2 linked regions of the Caenorhabditis elegans genome follow. The protein of the gene in region 2 interacts with the protein of the main gene of each other region in a pairwise test. Each region holds a gene or a part of one and is shown on either strand. Other genes may lie near its edges.

The links.
Region 1: the proteins of emb-5 (region 2) and glp-1 interact in a two-hybrid assay, tested with the Caenorhabditis elegans proteins (one study listed by BioGRID).

What each region holds. Positions count from the first base shown.
Region 1 is NC_003281.10:9,090,443-9,098,259, forward strand, and holds the start of glp-1 (glp-1/Notch intracellular domain), read left to right. Parts: upstream 1-1,798; 5' UTR 1,799-1,870; coding exon 1,871-2,010; intron 2,011-2,870; coding exon 2,871-2,986; intron 2,987-3,626; coding exon 3,627-3,689; intron 3,690-4,208; coding exon 4,209-5,117; intron 5,118-5,417; coding exon 5,418-5,658; intron 5,659-5,963; coding exon 5,964-6,699; intron 6,700-7,106; coding exon 7,107-7,579; intron 7,580-7,629; coding exon 7,630-7,817. UniProt on the Caenorhabditis elegans protein: Essential signaling protein which has a major role in germline and embryonic development; involved in cell fate decisions that require cell-cell interactions. Probable membrane-bound receptor for putative ligands lag-2 and apx-1.
Region 2 is NC_003281.10:4,714,771-4,722,651, forward strand, and holds emb-5 (Suppressor of Ty 6 homolog), read right to left. Parts: upstream 5,901-7,881; 5' UTR 5,896-5,900; coding exon 5,765-5,895; intron 5,718-5,764; coding exon 5,465-5,717; intron 5,392-5,464; coding exon 5,050-5,391; intron 5,000-5,049; coding exon 4,413-4,999; intron 4,369-4,412; coding exon 3,849-4,368; intron 3,796-3,848; coding exon 3,442-3,795; intron 3,395-3,441; coding exon 3,095-3,394; intron 3,047-3,094; coding exon 2,153-3,046; intron 2,106-2,152; coding exon 1,932-2,105; intron 1,880-1,931; coding exon 1,060-1,879; intron 1,008-1,059; coding exon 817-1,007; 3' UTR 523-816; downstream 1-522. Other genes in the region: him-18 (SAP domain-containing protein), read right to left, coding at 1-2, 47-167, 219-274, 349-407; acy-1 (adenylate cyclase), read left to right, coding at 7,442-7,726. UniProt on the Caenorhabditis elegans protein: Histone H3-H4 chaperone that plays a role in maintenance of chromatin structure during RNA polymerase II transcription elongation.

The DNA of each region.
Region 1 (7,817 bases), 4.4 Mb from region 2:
GTTGTAAAATTAATCCTAACTCCTTGTGCTGTACAAAACCCATTTTATGGAAACATTCAGAATCCCCAATACTTTTTCTCTTTTCTCACATGACCTTATAGTTTATCTTCCGAATGCTGAATGTTTTTTCTTCAGTACAAATGTTTTGAATACCTAGGTAACCTCGAGTATGAGAAACAACATTAACAATGTTTTGGGAGAAACATGTAGTTTTGTACGTCCGGTCCAGTGAGAGTTTTCAACTTATTTTGGAAGAAATTTTTTTTTGACAAAATTTTGCAATTTCCCACGCAGAAATACGGTATGCCCCGTATCTCGCCACGAACATAATATTTTAAATTGACGGAAAGGTGTGCGCCTTTAAGAAGCACAGTAACCATTTTCCGGTTTTTTTTTTGAAATTGCCTTTGATTTTTACTTTTTTCTCCCAAAAACGAGAAATTTAATATAATCCATCAAAATCTTTGTGAACGAGAGAAATATAGTGAAAAACTCAAAGAAAATTGCGAAATGGATTACTGTACTCCATAAAGGCGCACATCTTTTCGAAAAATCGTGAAAAATTGCATCTGACCAACAGTTTTGCGTGGAATCTTCCTAGATTCAAATTTCCTATGAGTCATAAAACTATCATTTTATCGGACAATAACTACACGTGTACCTTGTTTCCATATGTTCTACCAATATAATTTGTGTTCATATGTGGCCAGGTACGGGAAATTAGAACACGGACTGATTTAGGAAGGTTCAAATTCGAGAACAATGGACGACTTGCTGCACGAAAACGTGGATTATTCTGAAACCGCCTATGTGATCACTATCGATTTAGCACTTCGGTTTTCTTTTTCCGTTTTCCTTTATATTCCGTATTGTATGCCGACAATAACGCTTTTTCTTTGTATAAACATTTCCAGAAGCAGAGCAAATTTGTTTATTCCAGAATTGACTGAATATTGAAATAATGTTTACAGACATACTGTAGATTTTTTTCTATTCAAACATGAATACAGTTTTTCGTATTTTTAATCTTCAGATAAGTTTTGTGTGTGTTTTTGAGAATAATATTTAAAAAAGATAAGCAAATATCAGAACTACGGTAAGCGAAGGGGTACGGTCGTCAATTGCGGACTTCCGAGCTGTGCACGGCGCCAAAATTTATTTTGAGTTTTAAAATGATTTTCTTTGTTTTTTTTTCTTTTTTTGACACGATAAGAACATTTTTCTGTATTTCTAATATTTTAAATGAGATCGTAATAAGTTTATTTAGCTCCATCACATTATTTTCGGAATATTCATCGCTTGAAAACGGCGTAAAATAGGTTCCAAGTAAATCATTGCAAACAAATCTCCGTTTATCGTTCTAACAAAGTTTTTCGTTCACTTTCTTATGTAAATCGTTTTCCCCACTTCTTCTTCACGGGAATGATCAATTGAAAGGCCATAAATTGGTTGTTTTCTCCACATTTCGCAACCAACATGCAGCTGTCGGATAGGCAATAAAATAATGTAATCAATGAGTTTTCCGATTTATCCTAACAGTTCTTTTTCTAGTGTTCCTATTCGAAAAAAGTACTGTTATCCTTCTTTTTGGACCGCCCATCTCAGGTGTCAAGACAATCGCAACACACTCAGAAAATGGGCGGAGTATGCCACCCGGCCTTCATTCGTCGCTCCTTGTCTTCTCCATTTTCGTTTTTTTCCTGTTCTCCGTTCTTTTTTTGTACTTTTGTGATAATGCTGAAGTGTTCTTTTTTTTCGCTTAACCGCATCTCTTGATTTAATTCATATTTTCTTTCAGATTCATGTACAATAACACCAAGAGCTGCTCTAACAACTAATAATAACAGAATCTCGAACAGCGAACACAACAATGCGAGTTCTTCTAATTTTACTCGCGTTTTTTGCGCCAATCGCCAGTCAACTTATGGGTGGAGAATGCGGAAGGGAAGGTGCTTGCTCCGTCAATGGAAAATGCTATAATGGAAAACTGATTGAGACATACTGGTGCCGGTAAGCATATATTTCATTCTCCCATGTCAATGTTATTCATCCGCTTTCTCATGAACCGTGACGAAAAGAACAAAAAAAAGAAAGTTTGGGCAGGTGGTGGTGGTGGGAAACAGGCGATAGATAAACAAAAGCTTGGTGTAGAGAACATTTTGAATAATATCCGAAAGTTGAATTATCACTGTCCATATTTCCCTCTAAGACATCATTAAACGCCACCCGGCTTGCAGAATGGGAACACAATGAACAGCAGGAGGCTGTCACAATGTAAAATCTCGTAAATCGTTCGGGAAATCTAAAAAATTGTTATTTAGTTTTCCCTTTTCTCTACAAACAATTCATTTTTCTTATCAATAACTTTGAGTTCCAAAGGCAAAATTTACAGCCGTTTACAGCCATCTTCCCAGGGTTGTCGGCGAATTTATATGGACGTTCATAAAACAATTGGATTAGCGTGTCGGTTCTTTAATCTTGTCTTTTCTTATTACTATCTAGCTCGTTTGATTAGTTATACAGAGAGTATCAACGTATTTATCGATAGGAAAATTGCGCCATGATGCTCTAAAATACATAAAATCGCTCGATTTATCTGAAAATAACACTTATTTCAGCTTAAAAATGTGAGAAAATGGTCCAAAATTGTCTGAAAGTTGTTGAGTGAATTATCGAGATTTGTTTTCTGATCACTTTCACGAATATATCAGCTGAAAAATTGTTATTTTCAAGTAAATCGATATATTTTGCCACGATTTTTGATTAAAAATACTGTAATTTATTGATTGTCACCCACCACTGGCCCACAGTCATAAATTGTCTCAATTGAATTACTTTTCAGTTTAAAAATAATTTAATCAAATTTACAGTTGCAAAAAAGGATTCGGAGGTGCTTTCTGTGAACGTGAATGCGATTTGGATTGTAAACGAGGCGAGAAGTGCATCTACGATGTTTATGGTGAAAATCCGACGTGTATCTGTCAAGGTAATTTTGTGAATCCTAAAATCTGTTAAATATCATAATATTTTGCCCGAAACGACCTATTTTCATAATGGGACTTCTCAAATCTTTAAATCAAATTATCGCCTTTTTGCATAGTTTGATAAATACTTTATCTCGATTCAAGTGTATTCTAATCAATCATTTTAAGATTTTAAACGTTTCAAATTCAAAATTTTGTTCCATGTTTTACTTCCACCTTTTTCTTCATCTGCCCTTTTTCATAGCGGCAATCTTTTTCACCACATCATCCATCATCACACTGCGAGTGTATTTTTCTTTGATTGTGCCCGACTTGTACGCAATTTTTTGTTTCAGGATATATCAAAATTTCGAAAACTTATTAGGGAAAACACGCGACCATACGTATAATAATTCTCCCGGGAGATCCCAACATTGACAAATTGTACCGCATTCGTGGTATCCTATTTTTCATTTCTACGCTCTCAAAATGACCGCTAGTGATAGATAGCTTCTACTAGGTCATATTCGCACATCTTCATCGCCTTTGTCATGCGATTTATTGCAAATGTTCGGTTTCATTGCGCGGGGGCAGTAGTATAAATCAAGCAGATGTTGTTACACAGACAGCCATGAGAAAATATTTATAAGTTTTATTATTCAGATTGCGAAGACGAGACTCCTCCAACAGAACGTACTCAAAAAGGCTGTGAAGAAGGCTATGGAGGTGAGTAAAGTTTGGATAATGTATGATTACTAATAGTCAATGACTTTGTATCACAATTATTGTTGTTTTGAGCAACAATTGACAGCTATTTTAATTTTTAAAAAGTTGCAAAATTGTTTTTTTTTCAATTTTATATTTTTCGAAAACACAAAGGACCAATGAAATTATCAGATTTTAAAAAATATAGTAAAAAATAAATTAAATATATTTAATTTAATTTAACATATTCTAATAAGAAATGCGCGAGATCCAAGTCTCCCACTGTGATAACTTTTTCCATCTGTTGTCGGAACCGATTTGATCTCAAATAAATCAAAATATTGCGTGTTCTTTTTCTCTATTTTACCGTAATGAGATTGACACCTTTCTCATCTCAAAGGAAATAATCGGCGGTTGGGGGTAATGAGGTGTGAATGGCTATTAGGAAAAACAAACTTCCGCCGGAATTTGAATTTAAATTCCACTTTTTTTAAAAAGAAGACAAAGGCCTATCCGTGATTAATACATTAATATTTTCAGGTCCTGACTGCAAAACTCCTCTATTTTCGGGAGTAAATCCATGCGATTCGGATCCTTGCAACAACGGACTCTGCTATCCATTCTATGGTGGATTTCAGTGCATATGCAACAATGGATATGGAGGATCGTATTGTGAAGAAGGAATCGATCATTGTGCTCAAAATGAATGCGCAGAAGGTTCAACGTGTGTCAATAGTGTATACAACTATTACTGTGATTGCCCAATTGGAAAATCCGGTCGATATTGTGAACGAACTGAATGTGCTTTGATGGGAAACATTTGCAATCATGGAAGATGTATTCCGAACAGAGATGAAGACAAGAACTTCAGATGTGTATGCGACTCGGGATACGAGGGAGAATTTTGCAATAAGGATAAAAACGAATGCCTCATCGAAGAAACGTGTGTTAACAACTCTACATGTTTCAATTTGCACGGTGATTTTACTTGTACCTGTAAACCTGGATACGCTGGAAAGTATTGCGAGGAGGCTATCGACATGTGCAAGGATTACGTTTGCCAAAATGATGGATACTGTGCCCATGACTCGAATCAGATGCCAATTTGTTATTGCGAACAAGGATTCACTGGACAACGATGTGAGATTGAGTGTCCTTCAGGATTCGGGGGAATTCATTGTGATCTTCCACTACAGAGACCACACTGCTCTCGGAGCAATGGAACGTGTTACAACGATGGAAGATGTATAAATGGTTTCTGTGTCTGTGAACCTGATTATATTGGAGATCGATGTGAGATTAATAGGAAAGATTTCAAGTTCCCAGATATTCAGTCATGCAAATACAATCCGTGTGTGAATAATGCGACTTGTATCGATCTCAAAAACAGTGGATATTCATGTCATTGTCCGCTTGGATTCTATGGATTGAACTGCGAGCAACATTTGTGTAAGTTCGAAAATTTTATTTTTATATACGACAAACGCGCCTTTAAAGAGTACTGTAGTTTCAAACGGTGAAATTTTCATCAATTTTTCAGCTTTTTAACATCAAATCTACATAGACTACACAGACTTAAATTTTGAAAAATCAATGGCAATCCCGGAGCAAGGAGAGTTTTTAAACTACAGTACTCTTTAGGAGCGCACATTTTTTCGCATTTAACAAAATTTTTGTCGTGGCGAGACCTGATACCGTATTTTTAGCTCAAGATTACTAGGCAGCATTCTTAATATCAACAAACTTCAGTGTGCACTCCAACTACATGTGCTAACGGAGGTACTTGTGAAGGTGTGAATGGCGTTATCAGATGTAACTGCCCCAACGGATTCTCTGGAGATTACTGCGAAATAAAGGATAGACAGTTATGCTCCAGACATCCATGCAAGAACGGAGGAGTTTGTAAGAATACTGGATATTGCGAATGCCAATATGGATACACTGGACCCACTTGTGAAGAAGTTCTAGTTATCGAGAAATCAAAAGAGACGTTAGTTTTCTTGGATACTATAAAGAATGCAGCCCAGAAAAATAATTTATTGAAGTAAAAAGCGGTTTCAATGAAATAAATACCTAATTTTAGCTCAAATCTCTAATTTTGCCAGCTTCGGTTTGTGTGACACGGGGAAGGTGTTAAATAAAATTTCTTTAGCTAAAATAAGGCTGTCTTTTTCCAAGATTTGAACTGCCATGATTTATTTGGAATTATTTTTTTGAGCCACTTGGAGTATAATGACGATGAAGATAAAATTCCTTCAAAATTTGTATTCAAGGTATTAAATGTGAACATTTCAGTGTCATTCGTGATCTATGCGAGCAACGAAAGTGTATGGATCTTGCTTCCAATGGTATTTGCAACCCGGAATGCAATTTGGAAGAATGTAATTTTGATGGAGGTGATTGCTCAGGAGGGCAAAGACCATTCTCCAAATGTCAATACCCTGCAAGATGTGCTGATCAATTCGCAAATGGAGTCTGTAATCAGGAATGCAATAATGAAGAATGTCTTTACGATGGATTGGACTGTCAATCAGAGTTATTTCGATGCCCAGCTCATATTCGGAAACATTGTATTGAAAGACGAGGCGATGGAGTTTGTAATTTAGAATGCAGTTTCATTGGATGTGGTTTTGACGGTGGAGATTGCAATAACGGAACAGAAGCAATAATCCTCAGTGATATTCGTATAAAAGTTCAAATTGATCCTATTGAATTCCAAGCTACCGGAGGAGAAACACTAATGCAAATCAGTGCAAATCTTCGAGCAACCGTACGTATTCAACGGGATGAACTTGGACCTCTTGTATTCAGATGGGATGGTGAACATGAAATGGAAAGAGTTGAGATGAATAGTAGCAAGCTCGAAGATCAATTTGTACTTTCGCATCACGTTCGCAGGTATCGGCAAGCTGTTGTCACTGGAATTGTCTTGTATTTGGAAGTCGAAGAAATATGTAAACCCGAGTTTTGCCGATTTTCAACAGCGCAAAGTGTCGTTGATTTGATTGCTGCTGGACTTGTGAAGTCTGATGTAAGTTATTTTTATGTGGAGTACGGCACCGGGCTGGAAACAAAATAATTTGGACCGAAATAACAAAAAAAATTAAATTTGTGAAAAATCCAAAAAGGTAGATTTCCGGTTCACTTTTCACTTTTTAGAAGAAAATCATCCGCGTTTTGCTAAAAATATTTGTAAAACATAAAAAAATGTTTGAAGTACAGAAAATTAGTTTTTGAATCCAAAACCAAAAAAACAATTTTTCGTCAAAATATCAAAAAGTCCCAGCACTGGTGGGGCTTAAAATCTATTTTTATGGTGATAAAATGACCAAATATAATTTTTAAAAATTAGAAAAATTTTATAGTATATTTCGAGCCAAAAAGCGGTGAACCTTTAATTGTTTGAGTTATGGAAAATAATAATTAAAACATTTTCAGGGTCGTATGTCTCTGGGTCTCCCAATTACGGAAGCAATGGTAGCTGTTCCAAAGAGAAACGAAATCGATGAAGGATGGTCTCGCAGTCAAGTTATTCTGTTTGCATGTATTGCATTTTTGGCTTTTGGAACTGTTGTCGCTGGTGTTATCGCAAAGAATGGTCCAGAAAGAAGTAGAAAAAGAAAAATGGTGAACGCAACAGTCTGGATGCCTCCGATGGAATCAACGAACGAGAAAGGTCGTCGGAATCAGTCAAATCATTCGAGTCAGTGCTCTCTTCTTGACAATTCTGCCTACTATCACCCCAATACCAAGAGACACTGTAGCGATTATAGTACCGGCTACAATGGAGAACAATATTCACAGATTTATCCACAAACTCTCGCAAATGGATATCCCGGTGATTACAACGAATTGAACTTTGACTTTCAATCTGAGACGTTCGCACCAGCTGATCTACCAGCCGACGAAATGTGAGTGAATCTTTATAGTTTTATTATAATTATTGTTATGTTTCTTTCAGCCCTCTCCATGTTCAAGCTGCAGGACCAGATGCGATTACAGCTCCAATCACAAATGAGTCAGTCAATCAAGTGGATTCAAAGTATAGACGACGAGTTCTGCACTGGCTTGCTGCCAATGTCAGAGGAAAACCGGAAGATGTCATTACAACAGAGGCAATTCGATGCTTGAAGGCTGGAGCCGATGTGA
Region 2 (7,881 bases):
CTCTAAAATTTGAACAGTGAGAAGAAACACAAATAATATTTCAAACCTTCTGGAATTCATCCAAAGAGTCATATCTCGTGCACACGTCGCACATTTTACAGGTTTCTTAGCCGGTGCTTCTTCATCATCGTCGCTCAGTGTGATCTCTTCGAAAGGAGAAGGAACATCTCAAAAAGTAAATTAATTGATTTAATTGGGAAATTTGATTTGAAACTTACTTTTGTCAGATTCATTTCTTACAATACTCTGCACACTTCCAAGTTTTTGAGGACGCCTAGAAAAAAAGACAGATATTTTTTAATTTACGTTTAGGTTAAATAGATACGACAGAAACAAAAACCTTACTACCTTGGCGCGGATGAGATCGAGTTTTGGGACAGTGCCTTTTTTAGTGATGAATCATTCATATGAGTAGAATCTAGAATACTTTTTTTTCTTCTAAAACTGAATTTGCAATTCTTATTCCAATATCAATTGTGATCAACGCATTCTACGTTTTTTCGTGATGATTTAGCAGTGATTCTGATTACGAAATTTATTGAGTAAACAACAAAAATGGTACTTGAATACAGAAAGAGCTCATGAACAGTATGACTGCTTGAATAAATATTTTGATAGATATATAAAAATGTTTGAAAAGTAAAAATCGAGGATGAACGGATTACCGAAATCAAAACAAATTATGTGGGATTAAGACAGATGGATGTTGTATTCTATAAATTAAAATTAGATCATCGTTGATAGACTGGAACAAAGGAAACAGGATTGAATGTGTCTGATAAGGTGTGGGTAATAAAGAGAATAAGATCAGGGTTTTCAGTGATAGCCGACGAATTGAGGAGGATAGTATGGAGCTGCTGGAGGAGCACCAACTCGATACTGTGGAGCCGGGATCGCAGATCGCCTTAACTCGATGGGAGGCTCGTGGAAATGGCGTTTGAACCAAGCCATCATTCGATCTAGCGTATCAAAGTTTTGATGTCGGAATCGGACTCCATGTGGGACAACTGTAAACAAAAATAGTTGAAAACTTTGTTCGTATCTCTTTTCGAAACTCACTTTTGAAATATTCATGTCGAATCCGTTCTGTATTATCGAACATATAAGAAATACAGAATTGGCATGGCTGTCTGTAGGATGCACTGAATACGTACGGAGATCGTCCCAGCTCTCGTTTCTTCTCTCGTACAAATTGCTCGACTGCTTCTGTTTCTTCGCATGTTCCATTTGGGAAGAAGTACTTGTGAGTTGTTATCTCGTGAGAGATCTGTATCATCGGTTGAACGAATCGAGCAATCAACTCATCAAGATCCTCGAAATCTTCTCCGCCGACTGAGAGTTGCCGACCAATGGAGAAAACTTGATCCTTTGCGGATTCTTTGACAAAGAAATTGTGATAGACGCGGTCACAAATCTTCCATGTCACAGAAAGACCAGAATCTTTATTAGCCGATGGACGAATAATACACTCAGACCAATCCATTTCATCCAACATTTTCGTAGCAGCTTCGTAGGATACATTATGGAAATTTGGATGCGCAATTACTCGCTTCACACGTGTATTTGCTTCTGTCTTCTTTTTCGATTCACTCTTCATCAGTTCCAAATCAGCTTGGTATTGATGCTCATCCCAGTACTGATCACGTTGAGATAAATCATCTTCTTTCAGATCCGAACTCTTACAACTTAGGAATAGTGAGAATCTCTCCTTGTCCAACTTGAGAACTTTGAAGTAATATGGCTGATTTATCTTGACTCGGGTTAATGGATTGTCTACGTGACTTGATGAGATGTTCTTGTTCGGACAGAATCCAGTCATTCCATTGTCAAATCTGACTCGAATTCCGACTGGTGTTCCAGGACATCCACCTTGACGAGACTGAAATAATTTAACATTGGTTAACGAATAGTATTAGTTGAGAAAAACTTACGTCACCGAGCATATGTTCTTGAATTCCACCAGGAGCCGAAGATGTGAACGATTTACAACATGGACAAGTGAAAAGACCATCTTCTCCAACATCAGGTAACATGCTGTCTGCTGCATCTTTGTCAACTTTACGGTACTGCACAGATTGAACTGTTCCCAACACTTTAGCTCCTTCCTGCAAAAATAAAAATAAAATCGACAGAATTATTACAAGTAACATACTCTAATTTCTTTTCCTGAACGAGCCAAAAGATCATACAAAAGCTCTCCGGTAGGTTCTTGGAATGGTTGCCGAAGATCTTTATATCTCGCACTCAACTCGCTTGAGATGTCATACAACGTCGACTTTTTCTCTCCGAATCCTTGTCGACTCAATTCATCGGCAAACGCGTCCAAATCGAGATCTCTCAAACGATCAGGAGATTCCATGATTTCTTGAAGAGCCGCAGTTGGATCAGCAGAATCATCAACCTCCAACGCATCCACAGCCATCTTTCTAGCCCATTCATAGGTCTCTGGATGTACTCTCGAACCGTCAAGAACTTCAACATAAGCGTCAGTCTTCTCCGATACCTTGATAGTGTCAATTTTGATGAATCCAGCACAGTTCATAAATACTTTTGGTCCCAGTTTGCATCCAACCACAAGTTTCGATCTACTCTCTATCAAATTATCGTTAGCTTTTATGCTTTTCAGAAGATCAGTGGCTTTTCGTGGACCCAATCCGCATGTGAACTGGAGCATGTTAGTGTAGTGAGGGAATTCTGCACATTTATTGATATCAACACCTTCTTCGTTGACCTTGTTCACCAATTCATGACTGAGAACCAAAGCCAATTGCTCTTGATCGATATCCCGTTGAAGCGGATGCAGAGAGAGACAGAAAATATCTTCATCAATATTCCACAAATGAGCATACTCTGGGATGGGATCCAAAAGAAGACGAGCTAGGGATAAAGCTTGTCGGAGCGTCGGTGGATGATCTGGATTCTCCGCCAACGAAACATTCGATCTCATGTAGACTTTTGCGGCTTCGTTGTCCATCAAAAATACTGGAATTGGTTTGTAGATCAAGTTCTGCGAGAAAAGATCTGCCACAGCTTCCTCGAGGTCTCTCTGAAAATTGCAGTTTTTAAGTATCAAATGTTCAAAACTAGTGCAAACCTTCAATCGAGTACACTCCATATCCTCAATATTCAATCCAATAGCATGAGGTTTTCGTCTCTGTACAAACTTCTTAAACAAATCCATTGACTCGGCCTTCCTTAGTCCATTGTTTCCACCGCCAAACGTTCGTTTCGTGAAATGAACCATTCGAAGATAATCAACAATTGCACCATTTTCATCAACCATTACACCAAATGAAGCTTCGTCTCGCTCTGTTGGATAGCACACTGCCATGATTCGACGAGCTCCATGTTGATCCATACCATCATCATCGTCATCGTTATTATCGAAATCCGGCTGAAATAAAACAAAACAATTACATAGTTATTAAATCAAATTAATACCAGATATCCTGATCTAGAAATTCGAGATGCAAACTCCTTTCTACATTTCTTTGCTACTGCAGTCTTTGCTTCTTCAAGAATCGTATTATACAACTCATCCCTCATGTAGGGTACAAGCATTTCAGTTATAGCCATATTCACACACTCATCTCTCACTGAATTCCATTGTTCAACATTTTCCGTGTATTCGTCTTTTTGGAAAATGGAATCACTTAGATACTTGTTAACGAGGTAGTTATTTGAATCCTGATCTTCTTCAGATTCATACATGATGAGCACATCAACAAGACCATCCTCTTTGGCTTTGTGATAGAAGAGGAACTCTTCAGCGGTGAGACTTCGAACTGGTTTACTCTAAAAATATATATTTATTAAAATCCTAGACATTTATTTCAAATAATTCTCACCTTGATATACCGTTTGTCATAGAGGGGATGAGTTTGATCAATTGTATCACGTCCTTTCTTCGTTGGCTTGATCCAAAAATGTGCAGACTGGCGGAATTCTTGCCGAACACTATGCCTGACTTGTGGTTGTCGACTGATCTCCTTGGCAAGCATGAATTTCGCACCATTCAGAACCATATCACTGTCACTGAACGCAGGACAAACATACTCTTCTGCTGCTTCCAATGGTAACATCGGATCTTGCTCAATGTCGTGTTTTTTCCAGTTCAAATTTTCAGAAAACTGTTTTGCAGTCAATCCAAACCGTCCAGCAAGCTCTCCGATTCCGTTTTCCACACACATTTGATACTTATCATTACGAATGCTTGACTTGAACTTGACTCGATACTCTTGTTCCTCTTCTTCACCGGTTAAACGTCCTTTTTCCCATCTAATCATATCGTCGAGAAGAGCACCGTACAACAATTGGAAATTTGCATGTATGTCGGTAAGCTGTTCAAGAGTTTCTGCGTATTTTGTGCTGAAAAATAATTTAAATTCTAAATTTTAAATTTTAAAACTTACTCCATCAAATCTGCATCCGAAATCGGTCGTCTTTTTGCGGTCAAATCGTCACTGAGTTCCTGATACTCTCTCATCCGACGCATTAAATCGTAAATTTTATTTTTCTTCTCTGACAAATGACACCATTTTTCGTCAAAATCGTATACTCTCCATAGATTATTCATTGTCAGAAGATTGTCAATATCTTCTTTACGATAAAATCCAATAAACGTAGGTTCGAACGAATTAGAACGAACTCGAATGAATTGGAGAACTTTCTTGATGGATTTTATAACAGCTTTCTTTCTATCTTCATAGACAGAAGGATCCAGATTCATTATACAATCAAGTTTATCGTCTTGATCCAGGTCAGCTTGATTTGTCACTGTCCCTTCTTCGAAGGCATATTTAATAATCCATAGAGCTTCAGATTCCAGTTCATCATCATCCGCTTCTGTAACTGGTGTTCTTCTGAGTTGGAACCTCTCTGGTAAATCTTCTTTCGCGATTTTCTTATCCCCAGGTAACAAGAATCCACGATCAATTTCACTTGGTTCGATGGATTCGAGAAGTGTTGACTTCTTTGTAGTATCCTTCTTTCTGCGTATCTGAACCATTCCTATTTCAATAATGCAAAGCTTTTCTCAAAAATTCCAACCTTTATCTCTCCTCCTTCACCATCATCTTCTATTATTTCCTCCTCTTCGTCTTCTAGACCATCCTCGCCATCATCATCGTCGTAAAACTCGTCCAAATTGAAGTCTTCCACTCCGAATACATCACGGGCGTCATCTTCAGCGCCTTCTGGGAGATTTTCGTCTCCACGATGACGTTTCCGATGTCTTCGTGGCGCATCTCCATCGTCCTCAATAAAGTCATCCTCACTTCTTTCAGACTCTGATCCGTAACCACCGCGATCTCCACGACCACGATCTTTTCGCCTGTCTCCATCGTCACTTCCTCGTTCGGAAAGCAAATCATCATCTTCGTGGTTGGGTCTCTGAAATTCCGAATTTGATTATTATTATTATTATGAATTTTAGTGGCAATTGAAAAAAATCGAAATTACTCACTCGTATCGGCTCATCTTCATCACTGGAATCACCCAATTGAACTCGATTTTGTTTTTTCGTCTCTCGAATATCATAATTCTCATTGATCAAATCAAGATCTTCATCGTCGAGCTCATCTTCTCCCGAGTGCCGAGATTTTTCTGACTTCTCCGATTTTGCGTCCTCTTCTTCATCGTCATCATCTGCAATGAATCCCTGCATTTCTTTACGGTTTTCCTCTTCATCGTCATCGTCGTCTTCATCTTCGTCAGAACTAAAAATGAACAAATGAAAATAGAAATACCCCGGAATTATAATTACCTGGCAACCATTTTCTTCTTTCTTTTTGATTTTTCCTTTGCCATTTTCATCTTTTTCGACTGTGGTTCTTCATCATCAGAATGGCCCGAGGAGGCATCTGATTCTTCGGCTTGATTATCGATAAAATCCATTACCTGCAACAAATTCAGTTAATTTCACTTGGGAAGAACGAAATTTCATAATACAAAAATTTCGAAAAGCACAAAGAGCAAAATTAAGAAAATTGCAAACAGCTCACAGTGCGGAAAAGGTTTAAAAGTGAAAGAAAACTGAAAAATCTTATTTTGTGCAAAAAAAATTAGCCAGATAGGTGAAAAATGACGGATTTTACGCGGTTTTTAGGCCAAACGAGCGAAAATTAATCAATAAAGAAAACGGAGAAAGAAGGAAACCGGCCATTCGGGTCGAGGACAAAAATAAAAATGAGACGATTTTCTGAATTTGAACGCGAAGCGATTTATGCAACTGCGCCCCATTGTGATGCTAGGCGAGAGAGTGTGGGATTGCAAGAGGCGGGTAGAGATAGAAAAACGCGGTCGTTTAAAAAATATCGCTTTCCCGAGTTTCGCGTATTTTAGGAATTATATGTTTCATTTTAAAGCGATATTGCGAAAAGTGATTTCGATTCATCTTTATTGCGTGATAGGTAAACAAATTGGTTCATTTAGCAAGCATCCAAGACGACGAAATACGATAACCGGGGTATTCAGAATTGTTGCGAAAAATGTAATAGCTATATAGCTATGTGAAATTATTTAGGCATAAAAGATTAATTTTCATTCAACTACCATGTTCAATTTTGAAGGTTTATTCTTCACAGACTCATTCTTTCATCAACAAAAATCTTACCACGAAGAAAAACTTTATCAAATACCGTACCAGCGAGTATGATAGAAGCTTTTTAAAAGTTTTTTTTCCTTATTTCCCGATTTCAAATATATACGTAGATTTTTTCGAGGAAAAATCAATTCATAAGTTCTGTAATTTCAGGAGAAATTTGGCGAGAAAGATTGAGGTACTACAGTACTCCCGAGTACGGTAGTTGAAAAAGTTTCGCTTGAATCAGTGTTTCAATTCTAGATATACGCCCTACCAGATGCCTAGGGGGTAAGTGCCTACAGTGAAGGTTCACTTAAACTGCATTACTTTGATAACCTGAACCTGCTGATCATCATATCCGAAAAACCCCCAAGATATTCACTTGCTGACCATTTTTCATTAGTTGAAGTCCTAATTTCCATCGCTAATTATTCATTCATTTGCTGTTTCCGACATACTTATCAAATCCCATGGGATCCCCCGAATCCATGAGCACAATAATCGAAAGATTGAGGCTCAATGTCTATTCTCCATCCTCTCTCTCTCTCTTCCACACTCTTGGACCCGCCCCACCCTGGGGCCAGTCGAGCGCGCAGCTTTTCGTTTCAAACTCTGCGCCTCTCTCATTCCAAAGCTCTCTGCGCACTTTCTTTTACTCTCTTTTTCTCTGAAAAGGCTTTCAAAAGTAAGTGAGAGATTGGAAGAGAGTGAACGAGAGAAAAAGAGTAAGCAGTTGGGGGGAGTAGGAGGCGAAGGAGGGGGAACAACTACTACTCGCTCTCCTCTACTTGCCTCATCTTCTTCCTTTTCATTTTTCAACGTCTTCTATTCTGAAGATTCTTCTTGTCTTCTGGATTCATGGACGACGATGTCGGTGAACGAACACCGGCTCTCGGTGGTTCATGTGGACCATCAGTTCGTGCACACAGTAGTTCCCCAAGACGTGTTCCATTATTTGAGAGAGCATCTGCTAGATGGTGGAATCCTCAATTTCGATCTGCAACACTAGAAGCTCAATATTGGAAGTGTAGTTTCAGTCAGTTAAGAGATCGATTTCGTTCTGGATTAATATATATTGCCGTTGTAATTGCCGCTTGGACACTTTATTTAGCTTTATTCGATAGAACTTTTATTCAGCATTGGGTGAGTTTTTATTTGTTTTTTTTTTGGAAAAAAATCTAGAATTCATTGCTAAAAAAATATCAAAACAAAAAATTCTCGGCCCGGCTTGTGTGAATTATTCAAATCGTGGAGCTCCGTAAAAAATTCAAGGAGGTCATTTGCATTTTCTATGGTTC